Linked DNA regions of Oryzias latipes. The protein of the gene in region 2 purifies or fractionates together with the protein of the main gene of each other region. This does not show direct contact. Links are inferred from orthologs where the notes say so. Each region holds a gene or a part of one and is shown on either strand. Other genes may lie near its edges. The genes, in order: rnf219, cnot1 and cnot8.

Region 1 (7,995 bases), on a different chromosome or scaffold from region 2:
TCGGGACTCTAGCTCATCGACGTACTGGTCACTGCGTTCCAGAGCCCGTTTTAAGTGGTCGACATCACGCTCATACAGCTGACACTTGGCTTCCAGCGCTGCAACTGTGTATCGACCAAACCTGCAAACACAACACTTTCCTTACAACTAAGACAGAAATATCATATGATAAATAGCATAATGTTACTATTAGTTTGTGTAAAGCTATGTTTAAGGCCTTCTCCAATCATCTTTTAATCTATTGTAAAAGAGTTATGGTTATGATGTTAAGCTAACATCAAAATCCTGCGTCATTTTCTAAGACATAGTTTCTGCAGAGCAGCAGTAGTTTATTTGAAACTTTCCTCTGAGTTGTGGGCAGGACCACCAGCGCAGACCAACCCCACCCCCTTCCGCTCCCTGTTGATGAAAGCTCAGAACAGGGAGCTTGTGGCCCGCCCAGCACTCTACGTCACAAATCAGCTCTTTTTCAAACAGCCTTTTTTTTCCATCTGCTCCCGATTTACAAACATTTGAATAAAGAAATACTCAAAAAATGCAATTTAACCTTCATTGTTCTTTTTCATGCCCATCATCAATGCCACAAGAACATGTTAGAAACATCAAAAACAAAATTCTCATTGGAGTGTTTAAACTTGCTAAACATTATGATTCAATATGCAGAAATTTTCCCAAAGTTGGCATTGATTGAATGTTCTGATGAGAAACTTTGATGATGTTTAATGCTAGTCTTCCTCTGAAGGCAACAATGCCAACTTTGGAATTTGCTGGACTTAAAGACCCACTCTAATGAAGATTGCGTTTTCTGTGTTTTTAACATATTCTTGTGGAATTATTCGGATGAAGGACATACTGCATATAGAGAAAGTTGAGCTCAAACTTGATCTGCATTTTTGTTGCACTCTTAATGTTATGTTGGGGGTGTGAGGGGCTGTAAGCTATGAACAGATGAATGATGGGAAGTCAGGGCCGGCCTACACCACGCCAACAGTTCCGCCCACAACTCAGAGGTGAAATTCTAATGAACTACGGCTGCTCTGCAGAAATTATGTTCTATTTTTTTTTAAATATTACCTAAGAACGGCATAATCATGACTAAAAGACCACTGGGAACGCTTTCACAATAGAGCAAAAAATGATTGGAGTGGGACTAAAAAGAAAGCAAATGTGACTGAGAATACAACCGATGGTTAACACAGACTGAGCCCAACAAATTATTGACAACATCTTTCCCCTTTAATTTGGGATTATGGGGCCTATACCATGCTTTCCTTAAGCCTTTTATAGTAAACAATATCCATGTACATGATAATGGTACCTTTGGCACACTAAAGAATGCATTTTTTATTAAATATTATTTTCCTGAGCTCTTTTCCAACCCAGAAGTAAGACGCCTCGATCTCTGAGGCACCAGCTTTCACTCCTTGTGGCTGCTGCCTATTTCATGACATCGACTTATAGACCTATAGTGTGTCTGCACCTCGCCAATGAAAACAACAGTTTGATCAGATCTTGTACGAATGAAGGATAAATACATATAAAAGTTAAGATCAGTCAATCCTACACTGTAAAATTCTTCATTATTAACAGAAAACACTACCTATTAGTACCATCCAAAATATTGTACTCAACACAAAATATCTTACTAGCAGCCAGAACATTTTAAAAGTTATTTTTTGTAAAAGAACCCCTAGGATTTTTTGTTTTTCTTGAAGGCAGGCGCGGTTTTCTTCTTCTGTTCATGCTGTTTGCTAACGATCAGGCGTTTCATTGTTTCCATCACTTGATCAATGTTGCAAAAAAAGTACTTACTTCTGAGGAGATCTGCTCGCCACTTCTGCTTTAAGTCTCATGTTCTCTTGGACAAGGTCTACATTTTGAGAACGCAGGATCTTATTTGCCTAAAGGAAACAGAGAAAGTCTCAAATAAAAATAAGATATCGTACGCTTCTGTTAAAACTTAAGAAATGCATGCAGTTACCCTTCCAACTATTAACTTTACTTGTATTTCTATATATAGAATTATAAGACCTGTAAATACACGACATATGCACAAGCTTTATCAACATCTGTCAGTAAATACAGAACATGTGTTTAGTTGTGTGTACCTCTTTCAGTTTGTCCATGTCCTGCTTTATTTGATCACAAACATCTGTGGCTGCTTGCAGCTTGTTCTTCCATTCCTCTACAACAAAGTGAGGGACCCTCTTTTCATCTGCTTCCACTGCATTTATGCTGGTAGGAAGCAATGCGGTCTTCAGCTGGGTTTCCAGATTTTGAGTTTTGACTTTCAGCTCCTCGTTTTCTCTCATAAGCCCTTCGATCTCTTCCTGACGTGGAAAGGTTTTGTGAAAAACAAGGGTCAGGAGAAAAACCAAATTAAAAAAACAAATAAACATGAAATTCAATCCAAGTTTAATCATAATCTTGTTATGTGAAAGATAGAAAAAGTGAATTACAGTGGTCCTTGCTTAATTGCAGTTCACCTTTTGTGGCTCACTGTTTTGCAGACTTGTTTTTGTGCAGCTTTAGATGGTTTTCTTTTTTTTTTTTAAACACTGTGTTCTGCATGGTAATAGGCTGAAGATCTTGTCAATCAATCTCCTTTATGCCATGTCTCCTGTACAAGAAGCAGGCAGCTCTGCAAAGCCAGTTCTCCAAAAGATTTTTGTTTTTGTTCCATAATACTGAACTTATTTTTCTATGAAGCTAGGAACTTTGAGAAAAAAAGTGTTAAAATATTAATGTCCGTCTTTGTGGATTTCACTTTTTGCAGATAAACAAGAGAACACTATTTAAACTTCTGCTTTTCAGTCACTATTATTGGTAAATAAGCTGGTTAAAAGATGATATTATTTAACAAACAAGTATAGATTGGTTATGTTATTTTTTAATATAAAAAATTTAACTTAACATAACATAGTTTTACAAATTTAACATAAAATAACACAACATAACAAATAATTCTTCAAAATGTCTTAAAATGTATGTTAATTCCGTGGGAGACCATTTTCCTTTTAGTCTCACAGTAGGAATATGTCAACACGTTCTACACTAAATAAAGCGGATATAACCAAAAATAACCAACAAATTGAAAGGACTTGGAGTAGTGAACCATTGTAATATTTGTAGTGCCAATATAGTGAAACAGTTTGATTAGAGTCCAAATAAATTCTAATAAAAGCTTTGATTGATACTTAGCAGTAATTGTTCAAATTTGACTGAACAGTGCTGACTGGATTTTAATAGTAGTCGTGTAAACTCCCCTCAAACCCTTTAACCTGTTAATTTTGTAGCTAACCCTCTACACACATACTCACGGGTTCCCAGTTAAGCAGAATTAACTAGTAATTTAAAATATCAGAAAGCATCCTGAATGCAGCCGTACCTCATACTCCCGTAAAAGCAGCTCTCCTCTGGTTTTACGGAGACATTTTCTCATGGATGTGTTGTCACTGTGATCGCCTTCATTCGTCCCCCCTGTAGCAGAATGACAAAAAGATTATATTTCCAAAAATATACACATGATACTAGTAGTTTTCCAAGTAGATACTGAATATACGTTCTGGTGCCAAAATATCAAAAACTGAATCTAGCTACCATATTTAAGAAATGATATATAAGCAGATCAAAAGTTGATAAATTAACATTAAAGTAATTCAAACAAATGTTCTATCTAACAGACTGTTGTAACCTTATTTCTGGAACAAACCTTTAACTCAAAGCAAAGAAAACAACATGAGTGACATTATCATATCCTCATTTATTAGTTACTTGCCTACATTTAAAAAGAAACATGAAAATATATAGTTTATAAGGGGAATGCATGGAGAAACAGTTCAGCACCTCTAATGTGTCAACAAAAACATTGTGGGACTTGCAAATGATAGAACTGTATTGAGCTAATCCTTTATTTTCTGTACAGGAGTGTTAAGTTTATGTAGATTTAATTAAGTATTTTCTTAACAATGCAGACAGTGCATCCTCTACTGATCTTTTTTTTTTTTGGGGGGGGGGGGGGGGGGGGGCCCCCCCCTCGTTTGTAGCGGTACTCACCGATGATCTCTCTGCACGGACTCTCTGCTGTGATGGGCACTCTGCAGGTGGGACACTGGCCGGCTTTCTTTAACCACACTTCCATGCAGGACGAACAGAACACGTGGTAGTTGGCACAAATGACCGGCTGCCTGACCTGCACGGAGACGAGTATCAGACAATTATTTTTTGACAAAAAAATAAAAATACAAATAGACGCTTTCCTTTGGTGATCCGAGTTGCAGCTGGGTGACTAGCGCGCCGCTAGTGCAGTCACCGCCAGACAACGCAGGAGAAGTTTTACTTCCTCTATTCCCGGCTAATGTCGAAATGTAGATGCTGCTTACCTTTCCGAGGCAAATTTGACAGGAAATGGGCAAAGTTAGAGACAGAGTCGATGCCTGATAATTGAGCGCCATCGCTTGTTGTCAAGACACGACACAGTTCCCGCGGGGAGGTACAAGTTTCCCACCAGGAACTAACCGTCGGTCTGCGCGCGCGTCATGAGCTACGGAACTCTTTGAGGGACAAAAAGGGTTGATTTTAGTACGGACAGGGTCATGTTTATTTTCTATTTCTTTTAAATATATTTGGTAGTTTTCTTTTTCATGAGAACTTTTACCTAGAAGTGAACAAAATAGGAATCTTTTTTATGGACTTTTTGACCCTGCCTCTTTGAAAGCAATTTTACTCTGCCTAGTTCTCCAGTGGTTATACTTATAGCAAAAAAAACTTCCACAGTAGTGGCCTTTTTGGTTATTTTTTTAATGAGTTGAAGATGTATTTACATTCAGTTAGTTTAGCTGCTAATGTGGTGAAAAGCTTGGAAATGTGTGAATGCACTTCACCAATAATGTTCCCCATTGGATGATTGAGAATGGAGAATGGGTGGGATGAGCTCATTTACCAGAACTATTCCGCCCACTTCAACAAATGGATCTTTTGTTGTGTTCACTAATGGGTTTACTCATATGTCAATCAAAAACATGTACACATGTCAGTCATCACAGAATCAAAATAGCTGTGGTTGTGCCCCCCCCCCACACACACACAAACACACACAGCCTAAATGGAAAGTCAATCACTAACAATTTCATAGACTTTTAAAACAAGATTATCTACATGTTTTCTCGGAGTATGACTTTTTAACATATAGGAGATAATGGTAAATGCTTCCTTCTCCCAACTAGTCCATGGCTTCTTTTTAGGAGCTCCAAGGTTTGGTACCTCCTGGTGGCTTAAAATTAAAACAAAAAACAGAGAAATAAAAAAAAACATATTTTGGAATAAAAAATAAGTAACTTTTTCGAGTTTGCCTGGAGACGCTGCATGTTAGGTCCGAAATACTAAGTCATCATAGGAAAAAAAAAACTGTTCAGAAGTGTCCTAATTTCAACTTTGCTGCTGGTTTTATAAATTTTAAAACATTTGGAATCTGTTGTGTGGATTTTAAACCTGTTTTTGGTAATTTCTAGAAGGTTTCCTACATGTATGCTTATTTTAGGATTGTTAGTTGGCTTGTAATTTTAGATCTTTATGGAAAGCAGAGGCACTTTTGAGGTTTTAAGTAAAATTATTATTATTCATTATTAATTGTATAATTATTATTTACTAATTTTTTAATAATTTACCAACCCTTATTTATTAAATTGCTGATTGTTTGGTTCTGGGAAACTTATTATTTTCTTAGTTTTGTGGTGCCAACTTTCTAAAAAGCTGTGATAAATGAAAATGTATAAATTGTCCCCTTGACAACAAAATTGGCTGTAAGAACAATTTTACATAGCTAAAGATATGGATCTTTAGCTCAAATAACATACAAGTCTTTAAAGTCGCTGTTGATGCTTTAATCCCAGCTGTCAATTGAATCGGTTAGTTCAAAAGGGGCCCAAGTCCAAGAGGTTTGTTTTTCCAGGAAATCTTTTTAATTGCATAGCTTATAGGGAGCCTACACAAAATGATTAATACTTTATCCAGATTTAGCACCAGTTCACATCTTACAAATACTATAAAATGAAGCACCTCACTTTTATCATTTTAGAGGACTGGCAAACTAAAGTCTCTGGACTTGGGCCCTTCTTGAATTAAACAGGGGCGCTGCCATGTTGGATAACTAGTGCTGCCATCAATGGGATGAAGCTAAACCCATGCAAGAGAGGCCCAAGTCCAGGAATTTGGCCTTTCTTGCACTAAATGTAATTTAAATGTCAAGCATAGTCAATACATTACAACGGACTTGAGAATTTTTTGCACATAAGCAGACAGCTTTTCCCTTGAAGACCATAGAACATATAATATCTCTATTTAGAAAAATTGTGGACTTGGGCCCCTTTTGAACTAACCGATTCAATTGACAAACAGGGGTATGTTTTTTATTAGTTTTTTTTATTGGCTAGCTTTTCTTACAAATCTGATTACATTTCCATTTAATGCTCGTAATCACAATGTAGGGCAAAGCAAACTTAATGTCATTGGTGAGCTGAAATGAAACAAAGTCTTGGGTGACAGTGAGCATGATTATGGAAAAGGTTCAACTTTTCATCGTGTAAAAATGGAGGGCATTCACTTAAAAGATGTGTTATCTTCCTTTCTCCAGGCAACATAACTGAAGTGTTTCTGATCAGGACACCTAACACTTAAGTACAACTGCTCCCTTGATGCTTTGCAGTCACAGTTTATTCTCTTGTGCATATATTACCAATGAATGGGTCACATACAGAGGACAAACCTGCAGTGTATCATGCATGTGCAGTATAGAGTGTTTATCCCCATCCTTTATCCTTAACTAAATTCTGTCTATATAAAACTGTCATCTAGAGCAATGCCTAAATTAGGATGTGATTTGCATGCCACACACTACACAAAAATAAAAACTCTACAGGATTTTCTAAAGGCTCAATGTGTTAAAAATGAACACATGTAAGTTGTCTAGAAGTTAACTACAGATATGGTTCCCAAAAGAAAGCATAACTTAAGATTGAATATGTCAGATTTTGTGGTATGTCTGTGGTGGGACATTGGGCTCCACACACATAGGTCTGCGAGACGTAGAGGTTTCCACCAGAATGATGAATAACAGCAAAATCTATTGACAAAGTGAAAAATGGCATTTGCTCTCTTTGATGGTACTTTATTTCACATTCAATCATTTATAGCCAACCCATAAAGTAGATTGCTGTCTATTATTTTTCATGTCTTTGTCTCTGGTAAATGATGTAATTTAAGAATAACAGTACGGAGTGGTCTAATATTAGCATAAACTCCACTAAAAATGTTTCCAATTACATGTCCACCACAGTTTAACCTTTCAGAGCCATTACTCATATCTAGAGCTGCATGTCTTGGGTTCAATGTATCTTAAACCAGGACATCTTCACAGGATCTAATATGATTAGAATTGACTCACTGCAAAATAACCTTGTATGCCAATCCCAGTTTAAAAACATCAGCAGTACTTGTTTGATTGTTTTCCAAGTGCATTAAATGTATCACAAGCCAGCACTTTTCTCTCTCATTTTCATACAATCAGGAGTTTCATGAAAGATTATAAAATAAACACACATTATGAAAAAGTTAATCAAGATACAGAAATATCATACGTTTTATCAGTTTACATTATTTCACGTTACTCTCTCTCTGCTGTAATGAGGATAGATTCACATATTACAAATTTTTGGAGCAGAAGGCAAGCAGTAACATATTCAAATATTTTTGTTAGCTATTTTTGATGAACTAAAAAAAACTGTGAACTGTGCTTCCATTCAAATCCATATTTCTCTTAATATCACAAATGTCTTCAAAGAGTTCCAAGCATACAGGCACCTGTGTTAGATTCTTTCCAGCGTGCCCAAGTAAAAAGGGAACCGTAACTGTGCTTAGTGAATATATTCTACTGAATCTTTCCCTAAAAATAAGCCACATCAGAATGAAATGGCAGAAATACCTATTGTCTTGCTGAGA
Region 2 (6,961 bases):
AGCAGATGACCGGACCAAAAAGAACGGAAAAACCACTGAGGGGAATTAACTAAACCAAGACAGCTGTGGAGAATCGACCTGGTGAGACTGACGAGACAAAAACTGAAGGAACATCACAAAAATCCAAGCGCAGAATCCTCACATCTAGAGCCCGAGGACACGAACTGATGGAGAACAGATGGAGAACAATTTGCAAAAGATTTCCTTCAATTTATCAGGTTTGACAATATTATTGGGATTGATTGTAGTATATTCAATATTTATCAGGAGACATCAGTCAGATTCATATAATCTCCAAACCATATTGTTCCGCTGCACAACATGTCAGCCAATTAAAATGATGCATTTAAACGCTTCAAACAATATCTTGGTTTATTTCTGGAAATCTATAAAGCATAAAACTCCTCAGAATAAGCATTCTTAGGTTTAGGATCTGCAAAGTGAGACACATGAATGAATGCATCTCGTCCAATGTAAGAGACTCGCTGTGAAATATCCAGTGTTTGTCGCCACCTAGCGGTTAGAACGTGACATTTCTTTTTTTCTTGCACCTTTTCTGTGACTCAGCCTGATGGAGAGGATCTGAGTTCCTCGGTCCTGATCTGCTAGATTTGCTTTCTTTGTGCCTCTGCTGCAGCTCACTGAAGGGAGCTCATCTTTAATCGTCTCTGTAATATCTGGATTTTTTTTTATTACTCTTACTTGAAAAATGTAATGTAACTTTCCTTTTCTTCCACTTCAGTGAATCGATGTGACCCCCCACATCTGTCATGCGTTTTCTTGATTCCAGACTGCAGCTCGAGTTTAGAATTCTTCACATTTTTTATTTGGTTTTGAATGATTAAATGCCTCATCCTCAAACATACTGGTGACATTTCATGAGCTAAAATTAGAAAAATGAAACTAATAAAGAAGCAAAGTGTCACTGAAAATGTAGGCTTTTCAGAATGTTGGACATGTTTACGTATAGCGATATTTAAGTCAGGTGAGACAAACATAACAGGGGTAGGATTCTTTATATATTCTTTTTTTTTTGACAAACTATGTTTAGTTTGTACGAGTACATTATGTCTATGACTGACTATAACATTGTTTACATGTGAATGTGGACATATTTGTGCCTTTCTTGTGACTTAACATCTTAATTTAATACATCTATGCATGTTTTTTTTGTTGCTTGAAATGAACCAAATGTAAGATGGAAAAAAAGGCACATAGAGGGTCAGAGTTCTTAAATCTTAAATGAAAATGCAGAGTTCGTCTGATGACACTGCACAAAAAAAAAGAAGCTTCTGAGTGGGGCTGAACGATCCGAGGAAAAACTCGCAATTTGCGATATTAGGGATCAATATTGCGAATTAAAATATTGTCCAGTTATGTGCGGCTGTAGTTTATTGTACGTCTTCAGAAAAGTTTCACAGAAAATAACTGTTGAGTTTAAGGAAAATAAGGTAACTAACTGAAGTTGCTGATTTATAAAAGAGCAAGTGTGATGGGCTCAGAAAACACACGTGTGATGTGCAGTTCAAATGTTTTATTTCCTGTATGTATGCATACTGCAATTAAGTAGCAAGAACAAAAGGCAAACTAGAAAGAACTACAAAATACAACACATGGACCAATACATTTACAAAACATTCAAAATGTTACAAAATGGCCTGTATTGGTCCTTCTATTATTGTTCTTCCATTTGGATCTTTATACAAATTGTCAAGTTAGGATGTTTTCATCACTTTGCACAATTTTACAACTGCCAGGGAGAGACCTCCAGAGGCCACATCGACTGGAAAAACCATGAGAAGCCCCCCCCACCCACCACAAACAGGAGATCTTAATATCAGTCTTACTCTAGAAAATATCAGGAACCAAAGAAAAAATTATATCAGACAGTTGTTTTTTTTCTTTTCTTTTTTTGGTAACTACCGTTCACCTCTCAAAAAAACAAAACAAGAAAAAAAAAAAGACTTGTGTTGGAGGGAAGGAACTGAGGACTTTGGTAGTAAATGTTCTGTACAGACCAGGACACATTTGACATGTGCAGCCAAATCCATCCATCCACTTCCCTGCTCTCCCTTTTCTTCTTCAATATTTACATCAATGGTCAAAATAAGCTCACATCTGTCCTCTCAACTCAAGCTTAACGGGAAAAGCTTAAAAAAAAGAAGAAAAAAAAATCTCTTTAAATCCGTGAGCAGCAGTCCTTCCATTCACATTTCACGACTGCAGGAGCCGGTTTTGTCCAGTGCCAACGGTGAAGTGGGGGGGGTCCGTGTGCTGGGGGGGCGGGGCGGGTCAAGGCCACGAATTTCTCTCCCGGGTGCTTTGAGCTGGTGGCTGCGCAGGCTAGCTGGTGGCTGCGCAGGCTAGCTGGCACTGGTGCCCTCCATTACCTGCTGGGCCTGTTTCTGCCCCATGCAGCACTGGGCGACGGACTGGAACAGCCTGGGGGCAGACGGACAGGTTAACGCAGACGGACAGGTATTCGCAGACGGACAGGTGAACGCAGACGGACAGGTATTCGCAGACGGACAGGTGAACGCAGACGGACAGGTAAACGTAGACGGACAGGTGAACGCAGACGGACAGGTAAACGCAGACGGACAAGTGAACGCAGACGGACAGGTGAACGCAGACGGACAGGTGAACGCAGACGGACAGGTAAACGCAGACGGACAGGTAAACGCAGACGGACAGGTAAACGCAGACGGACAGGTAAACGCAGACGGACAGGTGAACGCAGACGAACAGGTGAACGCAGACGGACAGGTGAACGCAGACGGACAGGTTAGCGCAGACGGACAGGTAATCGCAGACGGACAGGTGAACGCAGACGGACAGGTGAACGCAGACGGACAGGTTAGCGCAGACGGACAGGTAAACGCAGACGGACAGGTGAACGCAGACAGACAGGTGAACGCAGACAGACAGGTGAACGCAGACGGACAGGTTAGCGCAGACGGACAGGTAAACGCAGACGGACAGGTGAACGCAGACGGACAGGTGAACGCAAGCGCCCACAAACCGGACCTGAACCTGGGGTGGTGAACTTACTTCTCGATCTCGGGGGCACAGTGCACAAAGTCGTGACTCCAGAACTTAAAGGCAGGGTTCTTGATGAGCTCGATGAAGGTGATAAGGAGCCCCCACGGATGAGGCCTGTTCACGATCAGCCTCTCCAACAGAACCCTGAGAACCAGAGAGCCTACGATTAACAGGACATCCGGTGTTCACACATCAGGACGGGACAGGACGGGACCTCCCCACCTGGTGATCTGCTCCTGGATGGCCTCAGTATTGGCCTCAGCGAACAGGTACAGCATGGTGCAGCTGAAATAATGGGTGTGGCTGTTGGGGTAGCGCAGCTGATTGGCGATGGCGTTCAAAAACAAGTATCGCCCTGAAAAATCACAAAAGCAGAGATGTGAGGAGAGAGGCAACGAGAATGCTCCAAAAGTCAGCCAGACCCAAACAAACCCTCAGTGTCCAGGTCCACAGCCAGGTTCTGGAAGATGTCCATGTGTGCAGAGTGGGTGATGGTGCTCATTGAGGGGGTGCTGCCCTTGTTGTGAATATGAGCGATGGCCTGTGTGCCCACGTACAACACCAAGGCGTTGATCAGCTGAATGTTGTAGCGGTTTCCTGGTTCGTTTGACACCTGCCAGGCAGAGTTCACAGAAACCTCAGCCGCTGTGAAAACAGTTTTTGTAGCAGAAGGTTCTGGTTCTGGTTCTACCTGCAGGTTGCTGCGCAGCTCAGAGAGGAAGGTAACCGGAGAGCGCGTCTTCAGGTACGAGTCCAGATCCTTCTTAAACTGAGAGGGCATCACGCCCGTGAAGTTGGTGAGGATTCGGGGAGCAATGTTGATCTCACTCAGCATGTCCACCTGTGGGGGGATGGGCGTCATGTCAGACAGGTTGAAGTGCCAATCCCATCGTCTTTTGATCTATTTTCAAAGCATTCCCAGTGTTTTTTTTAATTATACTTATGCAGTATTTAGCCCACATCAAAAAAACTGTTGTTTTCTAGGACTTAGTTTCTGTAGAGCAGCAGTAGTTAATTAGAAATTCACTTCCTCGCTGTTGTGAAGCAGAGTGGGGCAGACAGCTTGTGCCCCGCACATGGGACTTTTTTTGTCTGATTGGGATTCACAATAATTTAAATAAAGAAACACTTCAGTTACGGATCCATGTGACGCTCGTCTAGATGGTACTTTCTGCACATTTGCAATGCACATTTTAGCCCATGGTGTTCACACTGGACAAGCAGGGAGGGGCTTCTTACTCATGTTTCCGTATCTCCGACACCTACAGTTGGAACAGGCTTGGTGTGAAATGTGGAATCGGTTTTCCGACTCTGTGTCATAAAATTCCGGTCGGGCACAAACCCCAATTATCTATTTCTCTTCCATGATCAATTTTCATACCGTTGGCACTTCTGTGAATTAAAAAGGACCCCATCCTTACGTTACTACCAAATCTGAGTCCCTGATTGGTCCAAGTTCAACTGGTTTAACTTGCAATGTGCGTTCAATGGTCACGTATTTTATACGTACAACCGTGGTAGAAACTTGGTTAGCTAAGCGAGAGTTTTGAACACGGAAGACCAAACCGCTGGTTTACCCAGACTTTTCATTCAAAATGAACACGTGTTGCCGGGGGCGGTGTGAACATAACTTCATAAATGCAATTATAATCTTCATTTTCTTTGTACACGTCGTCAATCAGGAGAAAAGTGCCACAAGGACATGTTGACGGAATGGGTCTGTAAGATCGGAGTGATGGTTCTGAATGACAGGCACAGTCGGGGCTCTCTTACCTTCAGGTTGGGGGTGAACGGGTCAGGGAGCCTCATGTTGCGTGGGAAGGCACTGAGGATGAGGTTGCGGAGCTGGATGCAGTTGGGTGGGATGACATCACAGAAGCCGTAATGGTAATCACACAGGAATTCTGGGAAGTCGTGCAGCAGGACAAGGAGGACTCGCAGCGTGCCCTGAACCACAGGACAGAAGACGCGACATCAGAGATCAGACAGATGCCTGAGAGAGTGCCAGCAAACCTTTAACCCAATACCTGTGACCCCCAGCAGCAAAGCTAACTTTATCTTGTTGCATCTTTAAAGGTGTACCCCAGGGCTCACTGTTGGAGTCCAACCCTTTTTTATTTTTTTAGGACAGTTCATCTGCTACCATGGGTCTCATGTCGTCCCTCTAGTCAGATGATACCAGTACGCCTATAAACATCTCTGGATGATTGAATGAATTCTGTCTTCAGCTAAACCTTTGCTAGACTGAGCTCATTATTTTCACAGCCCGACAACAAAATCTACTTCAGCTTCATCAGGGTCGATTCTTGTAGTGAAGTCAAGGTTCATGACTGACAAGCAGTTGTCTTATGATGCTGCTTCAGTCCAAGTCATGAACATTTGATTCATCCAACCAAAAAAAGTTCAGAGCTTTAGTCGAGGTTTTTGTGTTACTGAATCTAATGAAAAAAACTTTACCCTTTACACTGACAAATCCAACAATCTTGTTGCTGTTTTTCTCTGTGCATTTATATATATAAATCAAGTACAGCACAGGTTAAAGTCTCTGGTAGAGTTTCATGGTCTTCCTTATGGTAGAGTCGTTTTGAACTAAAGTGTTTTGTAAAGGACTTGTGCGTACCTTGTAGAGAATTTGCATAGGTTTGTTGAGTTCTACATTCCTCAGGAAAGGGGCAAGGTACTTGAAGAGATCGATGAGCAGCTGTGCATACATGGGCCAGCCCTGGAACACATTGGTGTGTTAAGGATTTAAAAAACAAAGAAAGAAAAAAATCATGACAGGTTTAAATTTAAAACAGATGAATAAAAAACAAAAATATAATAAAAAGTTCTGCTCCAACCTTCTGCTGCGGTGTGTGTGCAAGCATCCTGGCGATGAAGATGCGGTGGGAGATGAGCTCCAGCCAGGCGTACACAAAGCCCGGCGCTTTGGTGGGTCTCAGGATGTGGAAGGTATTGCTGCAGAACAAATCAGGTTTTTGGTTTCTGGATGAGAAACACCTTCCTGCTTACGTTTCACAGCGCGGAACGAGATCAGATTCCATGATGTCTCACCAAAAGGCAGTGAGGGTCTGGAAGTTGATGGTCTCCAGGACGTGTTCTGGGGCGTTGAGCTCCAGCAGCAGCATGATGAAAATGCGATGGTATGGAAGCTGCTGGAACTCTGTCTGACGGACGTCATGGTCCTGGATGAGCACACCGACTACGATCCCCAGCACCTGTAACAACCACCTGTGTTATGACGTGTCCGTCACAAACGTGTCTCCACTCCTCTGCTCGTGTGTGCACCTTGTTGAGGAGATTGATCTTGGTGACGGTGTTGGTGGCCTCTCCAGAGTGCTTGACCAGCAGGGCGATGAGCCGCACAAAGGCGTCCAGGTTGTGGTAACACTTGGCTCTGATGATGGCTGCACTGGCTGCCGGGTTGTGCTGCTGCTCAGCCTGAGCGCGGTAGCTGATCTCCACACACATTTCTGTGCACAGCCGGAAGAATCGTGTGATCAGGTCATCCGTCTTCAAGATTCCTTGCTGATGCATCTGGAGGGAAAAACCCAGAGGAACCATTAAAACCAGGACCACTGGAAATGAGGTCAACTGTTTGCTGAACTTGGAAACGGAGGATGAGCGGTAACCTGGCCCACGAAGGCGGAGAAAGCTTTGGTGCTGTCTCTGCCTGCAGCAGCCGAGTGATACAGGTTGACCCATTCCCTCAGGAGGTACTCGGCCTTCTCCCGCAGCCCCGGAGGATCGTCGTACTCTGACGCCTGTGAGATCCCAGAGTGCATCATAAAGTTGGGCCCGCCGTGGGCACGCTCCATCATGGCTTCATAGTTTGAGCGGACAACATCCATCAGTTGGGGAAGACTAGAGGCGAGAAGAGGAAAAGAATTGCATGCCATCAGTTTCTGCATGAAATCTA
Region 3 (8,158 bases), on a different chromosome or scaffold from region 2:
TGCTGTCAGCTAAGAACAGGAAACTGAGGCTACAATTCACACAGACTCACCAAAACTGGACCATAGAAGATGGAAAAACGTTGTCTGGTCTGATGAGTCTCCATTTCTGCTGCCACATTCAGATGGTAGAGTCAGAATCTGGCCTCAACAAAATGAAAGCATGGATCCATCCTGCCCTGTATCAACGGTTCAGGCTGGTGGTGGTGGTGTCATGGTGTGGGGATGTTTTCTTTGTACCAACTGAGCATGGTTCCAGCACCACAGTCTACCAGAGTATTGATGCTGACCATGTCCATCCCTTCATGACCACAGTGGACCATCTTCTGATGCTACTTCCAGCAGGATAAGGCTCCATGTCATGAAGCTGGAATCATCTCAGACTGGTTTCTAGAACATGACAATGAGTTCTCTGGACTCAAACTGCCTCCACAGTCACCAGAACCCAATAGAGAACCTTTGGGATGCGGTGGAACTGGAGATCGGCATCATGGATGTACAGCTGACAAATCTGCAGCAACTGATGCTGTCATGTCAACATGGACCAAAGTCTCTGAGGAATGTTTCCAGAACCTTGCTGATTCTAAACCACAGAGGATTAAGGCGGTTCTGAAGGCTAAAGAGGGTACAAGCAAAGTGGAGCTGCTAAAGTGGGTGAGTGTATGTCCACACATAAAACACTAAAGATCTACAATTCTACGCATTTATAAATGCATTTCTCGAAAGACATTTTATAAACCATCTAAGCAGATTCACAAAAACTTCCAGCTGCAACAGAACAGCTGTCAGCCGGAAAACGATGAAGACTGTACCTCCTTCATCCTGAAGAAAGCCATGCCCGTGAGCAGCGAATCCGACCCCGCCTGATGCTGCCGGCCAATCCTCTTCAGCTCCAGCTGATCGGCCACTTCCTGCAACCCCCCCTGCAGGAACAAGCGGAGACGGAGTGAGACGGCTCCACGTTCCTCGGGGATGTAGAAAGCAATAAACCCTGTGACCCGCAGGCCTTACCTTCAGACTTTTGCAGCTCTTCATCAAATACTTCACATCGTAAATTGCAGGAAAAAACAAGTTTAAGATCTGAAAGAACTCGTGTTCCTCCTCTGGAAGCCGCGCATCCGTCAGGAGTTTCACCAGATAGCCAAAGTCATAACCACTGAGACAAAACAAAAATTATTAATGATTAAAAACTCAGAGAATCAACTCCTCTAGACATTGAACAGTTTCAGAGGTTCTGCAAAAGTTTACTATCAATGTGAATAGAAGCAGCATCCCAGAAACCTTTTCTAGATCGTGTCTGTCTCAGAGGAAGACAGGGAAAATGGTGACGGTCGCTCTAAAAAGCTCTGCAAAGACTTAAAGTTCCATAATCTTGAACGTCATCTACATTATATCGTCTAAGAAACATCAGCAGAACCAAAGAGGACTAAGATACCAGTTTATTGTGGAGTTTGTCTCCAGCAGGTCAGACTGCTGTAACGTCTGGACCCAGAAAAGAAGCAGCAGTTCATCCAGAACGCTGCTGCTCCGCTTCTGATTTTGACCATCAGTCCCGAGGTCACACAACAGCCTTTCAAATAGTTCTGCTTCTGTTCAAGTCTCTTCATGCTTTAGCATCAGAGATCATATTTGGAATGAACCAGAGGCAGAACTTTAACTGGAGCTCAGAATTCAGCTCCATGCAGCTAATCTCTGAAATTTCTCCCTGAAGATCCCAGAGAAGTTTTTCCTCTGACAAGGATTAAGTTCAGAGTAAAAGAGATGTTTTTGACCTGCTTACATTGTTTTATCTGGATCTCTATTCTGGTGTTAACCCATAAGTACCCAGACCCATTTGTTGTTTAAAATAAAGTGCATATTTTAACCACAAACCAAATGGACCAAAGAATCCATTTCTGATATTTTCTGTTACACTGACGTCACCGTGGGTTCTACTGGGTTAAAGTGATTTTAATTATATTTTATGATTTCTGAAAGATCAAACAGAAGACCCCCTCCCACCCCCGTTCATGGAACAAGCCAGCAGACAACCGACCTGTGGAAGGACAGCCACTTGACGTTCTCACACAGAACCAGACCCGACGTCATGAGGAGCTCGGCGAAGTACAGCGTGTCGATTCCTTCTTCTTCGTGTTTTTTGAACTGCAGACCCGAGTTCTGGAGCAGGTCTATGGAGTCCTGGGAGTACATATCCTCACTGCACACAACGTTAGAGAACATCAAGGATCATTTCAGGACTTGATCATCTTATTTCACTAGAAAACCTGTGAACCTTTCACTTTTCAGAGATTTATGAAAAGGAGTAAACAAAAATGTAAATCAACCTTTTTTTAATTATTAAAATACATCTAATAAAAAAAAAAAAGTAAAAAGTTCATGCAGTTTAACACCACAGTAGAACAGCTGAGGCACAAACTTCTGTGTGAAATACTGTCTCCTAGTGGAGAAGTGGCTCATTGCATCTTTCACAGCCTGTTTAAGGCTTACGTACTGGAGTTTAATTTACAGGCGTCTCTGTTTATGTTTTTTATTATTTTTAAAGACTGTTGTCATCATAGCACATAAGTGGCTTAGGCTGCCAGCAGGTTGACAGGAAGCAGCGAACGTTTTCAGTCCCATGAGACGACGAAGCACCTACGTCAGGTTGAACTTGAAGTTGAATTGCCACGTGGTCGTGCCGGGGGGGTAATCCCCATCCTCGTTCATGAATGTGAGACCAAGCTGGATGATCTTCAGCAGATCCACGTTGCACCGCAGCAGCTGGTACTGGTAATCTACCGTACTGCGAAACTCGCCTATGGGTCGGACCACGACTCCGGGAAACTCCGTGTCCTAAGACACAGAAATGCAGGGTTAGGACACTCCAGGAAAGGAAGAGACTAGCACACATTTGCAATCACCACATTTACGTTCTTTGTTTTTCTTTTTAGAATTCAACTGTCAACAAAGAAAGGAGAGCCTGTAACCATGGCAACGTAGTTGTAGCTTTGGATAATTTGCCGTATCTTCCTCATCTCTTCCCCCACGTTGCTCGCCCAGACTTCACAGATCATCTGGCTGGAATCTTGAAGAGCAGCTGGCATGTTGGCAGGTTCCTAGGAGACCCGACGGTCCTGCAGGGCTTCAAGGGGGGGTGGGAAGGGGGACCGTGCAACAAAAAAAGAACTGCGAAAGGAGATTTAGAAAAAACGTACTTAAATCTCAGAGTAATGCCGTCAAATCATCACAAGTATACAACATAAAAATAGGGAATCTTTGGAAGCTGAGCATCTAATAAGAGTCTACTTAATTTATTCAAAAGTTACCCAGTCATGATGGCATCATTTACTGATCTAAGGTCAAATGCAGGGTCAAACCGTGTCTTTACTCTGTCCTGCTTTGACCCCTTAACAATTGTTTCCCTGTTTCACAGCATCAATTTGATTCAAAATGCTATTGATAGATTGAAGACTAACTGCTTTCTGTATGTAATAATCCACCAAGTAGTCTTGGGTGTCACCATATATTTGGTTTAAAAAAAAAATCAGTTCAACAGCAGCACTGAAAGTTACATGGTAAAATGACGTTTCTGTAGTCTGTAACTGGGATTTTTACAGTCTACCTGACGCGTTTCCACATAGATCTTTATATATAATGAAAGTACACGCTGTATGGAGGCTCTCAAAACGAGCAAAAACTAACAATAAAAATAGAAACAACAAAGAACAGCATTAAAAAAACGCTGTTGTTGCCATGACAGCCGACTCCGTACTGACTGTAGTGCGGAACTGGCTTTACTAATTTAACTTCAGCCGAAATACAAATATAAAACCGATATTTTCAATCATTCTAACACTATAAATAAAACAAATATACTTTAAAATTGTTCTTAAGCAGAAAAGAAAATGAAAACAAACCGTGATCGATGCTAACAGTTAGCATAGACGTTAATATTCGCGCGCGGTCAAGTTGCAGAGATGACGCAGCATTGAAGAATAAATAAATGACGTGGCCCTGTTAAAGTGTTTAATCTGACTGAAGCTGCCCGGGAAAAAAAATGTAGTCGTTTAATTAGGTAACCGGTTTACCTTAAAATTCCCTCGACACAACGCTGTCGTCTGCTTCCTTCATTTCCTACCGTCTCACTTCCGGTTTGGAGTGGACTATAAACGTGCACACTGCCCCCTGCCGGTCCGGAGCGGAAGCTCCACAACGCTACTTCATTTGTTGACATCCATCCATTAAATAAAAATGTATGACTTATCTTTACATTTTTTTGTTACTTAAATATATTCATATGTCAAATTCATATTAACTACTTCAACACAAATTTTTTCCTAAAGGCCCTCATCCATGCAGTAAATGGGTCATTCATTGTACCTTTTTAATAAATTATAGGAATAATCATAATAAAAATGTCAGAAATACAAAAAAAAACACTATTTAAAAAAAAGTTTGTAAACTGAAAACAATAAACCCAAATATGTAACTAAAATGCCAAGCAGAGAACACATTAGAATAAACATTATTTATCAAACTATATGATGGTTATATTGTGCAGGACTCAACCATGATAACCTTTGTAACGGTTCCAATACACATATAATTAAAATGTAAATATGAATTTAGTTTAACATATGAAAGACAGCATGAGACATGTAGGTATATCATGTTTTTGTTTGAATATCAACATTTCATTGAAACATTCATTACTCCTTGTGTTTTACAGGTATTTTCATGTGAAACTGTATTTTTAATGTATAAACGAATGTGTATTTCTTTCCCCAAACACGCATCTGCTGAGCGACGCGGAAACCTAGATGAGGTAAAAAATGGTGAAAGAGCAGCTGCTGCACATGCTGCTCCCTCTGTAGTTCCCTCTGTAGACCATGTGATACCAATGACCATGAAAGGAAAAGATTTGACAAAAAGTCACAGGAAACTAATGAAAAACAGCGTTCAAATCGGTCCATCCGAACCCTTTTATTTTACATTTTTACACAATTGAATGAAGTGAGTTTCAGTCCTCCACAGAAACATCATGTTTAGCACAGAAACAGCTGCAGCTTTAAGGGAAAAACACAGAAGAACAACTTCATAATAAAGTAAAACAACAGCAGGGGATTAAAAATAAGGAAAATTATTAAAAAGAGGGTGTGGCTTTGAAGGCCACCTTGCAGGTGAAGCTGCTTCTGCTTCGTCAACGCAAAGTGACTGCAGAAGCTTCTTTATTGATTAGTAGTAAAATGACTTCTGTCTGCTACCGCCTGGGGGCAGAACCCATCCTCCCACGGGACCCCACCCCTCCATGTAGCACTAAGCCTTGGTGGAGGTTACAAGTGCAGCGAGGAACCCTCCTTTACTCGTGCTCAGGTGAGGCAACTCTGAGTCAGAATCCCTAGATGACCCTTAAGGGCGACAGCGTCTCTGCTGATGGGGAGAGTCAAAGAACCTTCGGAGAAAAACAACAAAGATACCGGGACAAAAGTGCAAACATCACACATTTTTGGGTCGTTTCTAATTGTTTCAGATTTTTGTTTTTAATTTTTTTTTTCTTATTTAAAGCGTCCCACCTTACCCTACAAGTTTTCATTCGATTTTTTTCATTAAAAGAATTTTTTGAGCAGAAGTGTGATAATAAAGTGTTTCCCTGTTTGTTTCTGCAGAAGCAGTGGAGTCCCTGTAGGTCAGGACGCCTCATGTTTGCTTCTGTGCTTCACAAACCCCCAGAACGGTGCGACTAAAAGCTTTTCTCCTTCCGGCCGAAGTTCTTCAAAAGGCTTTCAGCGGCGTCGGTTCTCTGGAGACGCGGCGCTCCTCTGGATGTGGGAGATCTCCAGGATCGGCATGAGAAGCTGGAAAGCGTCCTGGATGTAGGACGCGCTGTTGGACGCCTGTGTGGGAGGAGCATTTCTAGGAGCGCTGTGGGAGGGGCAACATGAACATTCAGCGATGGCACACCCACCTCAAGAAAGACTCCTGTAATCAGGGGGTTCAGCACGTCTCCTTTGTCCTGAGACTGAAAAACAGGGCAAAGCGTTAGCCTGCAGAGAGAGAACGTCTGTGGAACCGGTACCGGGATCAAGCGGACCTGAAAGCATCCTGCAGTTCGGTTCTGTGCTTTAACCCCTTCCTGCCTATTCTAGTGTTTCATTTTATTTACCAACAACAATAAACGCATCTTCTATAAAACTCGTTTTTGACTCAAATCTATATTAAGAAATAAAAGGTGGAGGAAAAGTGAAACTTTGGACATTTGAATGGAAAAACCCTGGTTTCTATGGCAACTGCAGCCGTGGCCTCACTGCAGGACCGGGCGCTACTGGGCTTTCTGCAGGAGGAACTCTTGAATGTCGTCAGTCTCAGTTCCAGCCGTCTAACAGGAGCTTCTGGAAGAAGACACTGACGCTGCCCTCTTACCCCCGCTGCCGTCAAGCAGGACGTGAACTTCTTGGAGAGCAGAGAGACTTCTTTACACAGGACAACAGTCAACCTGAAGACACGCAACACAGGAGCCAATGAGAGGCTGGACGGGCAGGAGAGCTGCTCAGAGGAAAGCGCCTCACTGTGACAGGACGCTGGCGTCTGCGCTGCCATTGGAGAAGAGGATCATCTCTGCCAGTTTGTGAAAAAGCTCGATGGATCGAGCCGTCAGCTCTGCCAGGCTCCTGATGGCAGCGGCGTGAACGTCCTGACGGGGAAAGGAAAAAAAATCCAGGAGGTTTCTGTGAAGGTGTGAATTCTACTTCCTGAATAACAATAAAGCAGAAAGTCTGAGGACTGAAAGGCTAAATGGAGATGCAAATGTCACCCTTGGGTTTTAAATATATCATGAAGACGATAAAAAGGGAACTTCTGGAGTTTTTAAAAGATCAGAGGAGTTCAGGTGATGTGAAGGAATGTGTGTAAGACATACCTCCACAGAGTGGGCTTTCTTCATCCCACTTCCGTCCTCCTCCTCTTCCTCCTCTGCTGGTGTGCTCATGTCCCTGATGCTGCTGCAGGCCTCCTTACAGGCCTATTGGAGGCCAGAAAAACAACCGCTATTCCTGTTACCATGAGACCAATGCTCTGTTCTCACTGTTCCTCTTGTGAGGCCTTTGGTCAAACGGAGGACAGGAAAGAAGGAGGTTTTCCAAACACCAGCAGGATCATGCAAAAGCAGCAACCGTTCTGTGAAAAAGCTTGGAGTCTCCTGCTGCATCGTTTCCTCTCATCTCCTGGTATCAAACTCAAAACCTGCAGAATTTGGGCTTCATTTTTCCTGTTGGGCCACATTTACTCGACAGAACCCTGACGTGTTTTCCAAACGTGAAGCTCAGAGACTCGTACCGTGCTGAGTTTGCCGGCTGCAGCGGAGATCTCCAGGCCCCCCAGAGCCTCTGTCAGCTCCTTCTCAAACTCCCCCCCGTCCTCATCTGGAACCAGAACCTCCCGTCAGTTCAGCTGCAAGGAGCTGAAAGTTCTGCTTTTACTTCCACGTCCGCTTTTACCCTTCCTCTCATCGACCTCCTCCTCGTCAAACTCCACCATGGAGAAGGAGTCCTTGATGGCCTCCAGCTCCTCCCTGAGCTGCAGCAGCTCGTCTCCAGACAGAGTGGTCAGCACCGACTTCACCTATGATGGAAAACATCCACATGTCAGGTTCCTGAGGGTCTTCGTCTACGCCCAGCCTCTTCAAGGAGCAGCCTCAGGAGTTTCACACACAATCCTCTCATCACAGCGCTCCTAAGTGAGGCTGGAGATATGAAACCGCTTTTAGCTAAAAATAAAGCTTTTCTTTCTCTCATTGTGACCTCCAGACTTCTCTAGGAGCTTAAAAGATGAACGTGTGACTTAAATATTCTCAGAGAACGTCAAGCTTGAACCTGGAATGGTTGCACTAGGAGCGACCTGCAGTTGGATCCTGATAGTGACGTCTACCAGAAAAGCCTGAAGGAGAAGATCCTCCAACGAGGTTCTGTTTGGTGTTTCTAAACAGTCCTTCATGCTGGAAACAATCTAAAGTGTTTCTGGATTCCACAGAGGAACAGCCGTCCTCCACAGACACGAGGACCTTTATTCTCCACTGGACGGCCCAGGATGAGGCCAGCTTTGGATCGGCAGCTGAAGGTTCCTCAAACATCATCGCTGAGCCAACAGAACAGCTGCTCACGGTGTTTGAGTAAGGAGGCAAAGCAAA

Evidence for each region.
Region 1: the proteins of cnot1 (region 2) and rnf219 purify together in Homo sapiens (affinity purification with mass spectrometry; 3 studies listed by BioGRID and IntAct, with this or other methods). This does not show direct contact. The link is inferred for Oryzias latipes from reciprocal best matches to the Homo sapiens genes CNOT1 and OBI1.
Region 3: the proteins of cnot1 (region 2) and cnot8 purify together in Homo sapiens (co-immunoprecipitation; 5 studies listed by BioGRID and IntAct, with this or other methods). This does not show direct contact. The link is inferred for Oryzias latipes from reciprocal best matches to the Homo sapiens genes CNOT1 and CNOT8.

The regions. Positions count from the first base shown.
Region 1 is NC_019861.2:14,861,934-14,869,928, reverse strand, and holds the start of rnf219 (RING finger protein 219), read right to left. Parts: upstream 4,561-7,995; 5' UTR 4,455-4,560; coding exon 4,383-4,454; intron 4,193-4,382; coding exon 4,057-4,192; intron 3,481-4,056; coding exon 3,389-3,480; intron 2,331-3,388; coding exon 2,109-2,330; intron 1,902-2,108; coding exon 1,813-1,901; intron 122-1,812; coding exon 1-121. UniProt on the Homo sapiens protein: E3 ubiquitin ligase essential for DNA replication origin activation during S phase.
Region 2 is NC_019864.2:25,874,276-25,881,236, forward strand, and holds the end of cnot1 (CCR4-NOT transcription complex subunit 1), read right to left. Parts: intron 6,907-6,961; coding exon 6,675-6,906; intron 6,580-6,674; coding exon 6,331-6,579; intron 6,261-6,330; coding exon 6,097-6,260; intron 6,001-6,096; coding exon 5,883-6,000; intron 5,765-5,882; coding exon 5,663-5,764; intron 4,990-5,662; coding exon 4,816-4,989; intron 3,884-4,815; coding exon 3,734-3,883; intron 3,656-3,733; coding exon 3,475-3,655; intron 3,398-3,474; coding exon 3,265-3,397; intron 3,187-3,264; coding exon 3,052-3,186; intron 2,443-3,051; coding exon 2,364-2,442; downstream 1-2,363.
Region 3 is NC_019872.2:29,376,827-29,384,984, reverse strand, and holds the start of cnot8 (CCR4-NOT transcription complex subunit 8), read right to left. Parts: upstream 4,164-8,158; 5' UTR 4,065-4,163; exon of another isoform or gene 3,894-4,064; intron 3,163-3,893; 5' UTR 3,081-3,162; coding exon 2,964-3,080; intron 2,830-2,963; coding exon 2,636-2,829; intron 2,195-2,635; coding exon 2,033-2,194; intron 1,154-2,032; coding exon 1,009-1,153; intron 921-1,008; coding exon 810-920; intron 1-809. Other genes in the region: protein FAM114A2, read right to left, coding at 5,760-5,870, 5,942-5,995, 6,397-6,469, 6,543-6,667, 6,893-6,994, 7,309-7,394, 7,470-7,593. UniProt on the Homo sapiens protein: Has 3'-5' poly(A) exoribonuclease activity for synthetic poly(A) RNA substrate. Its function seems to be partially redundant with that of CNOT7.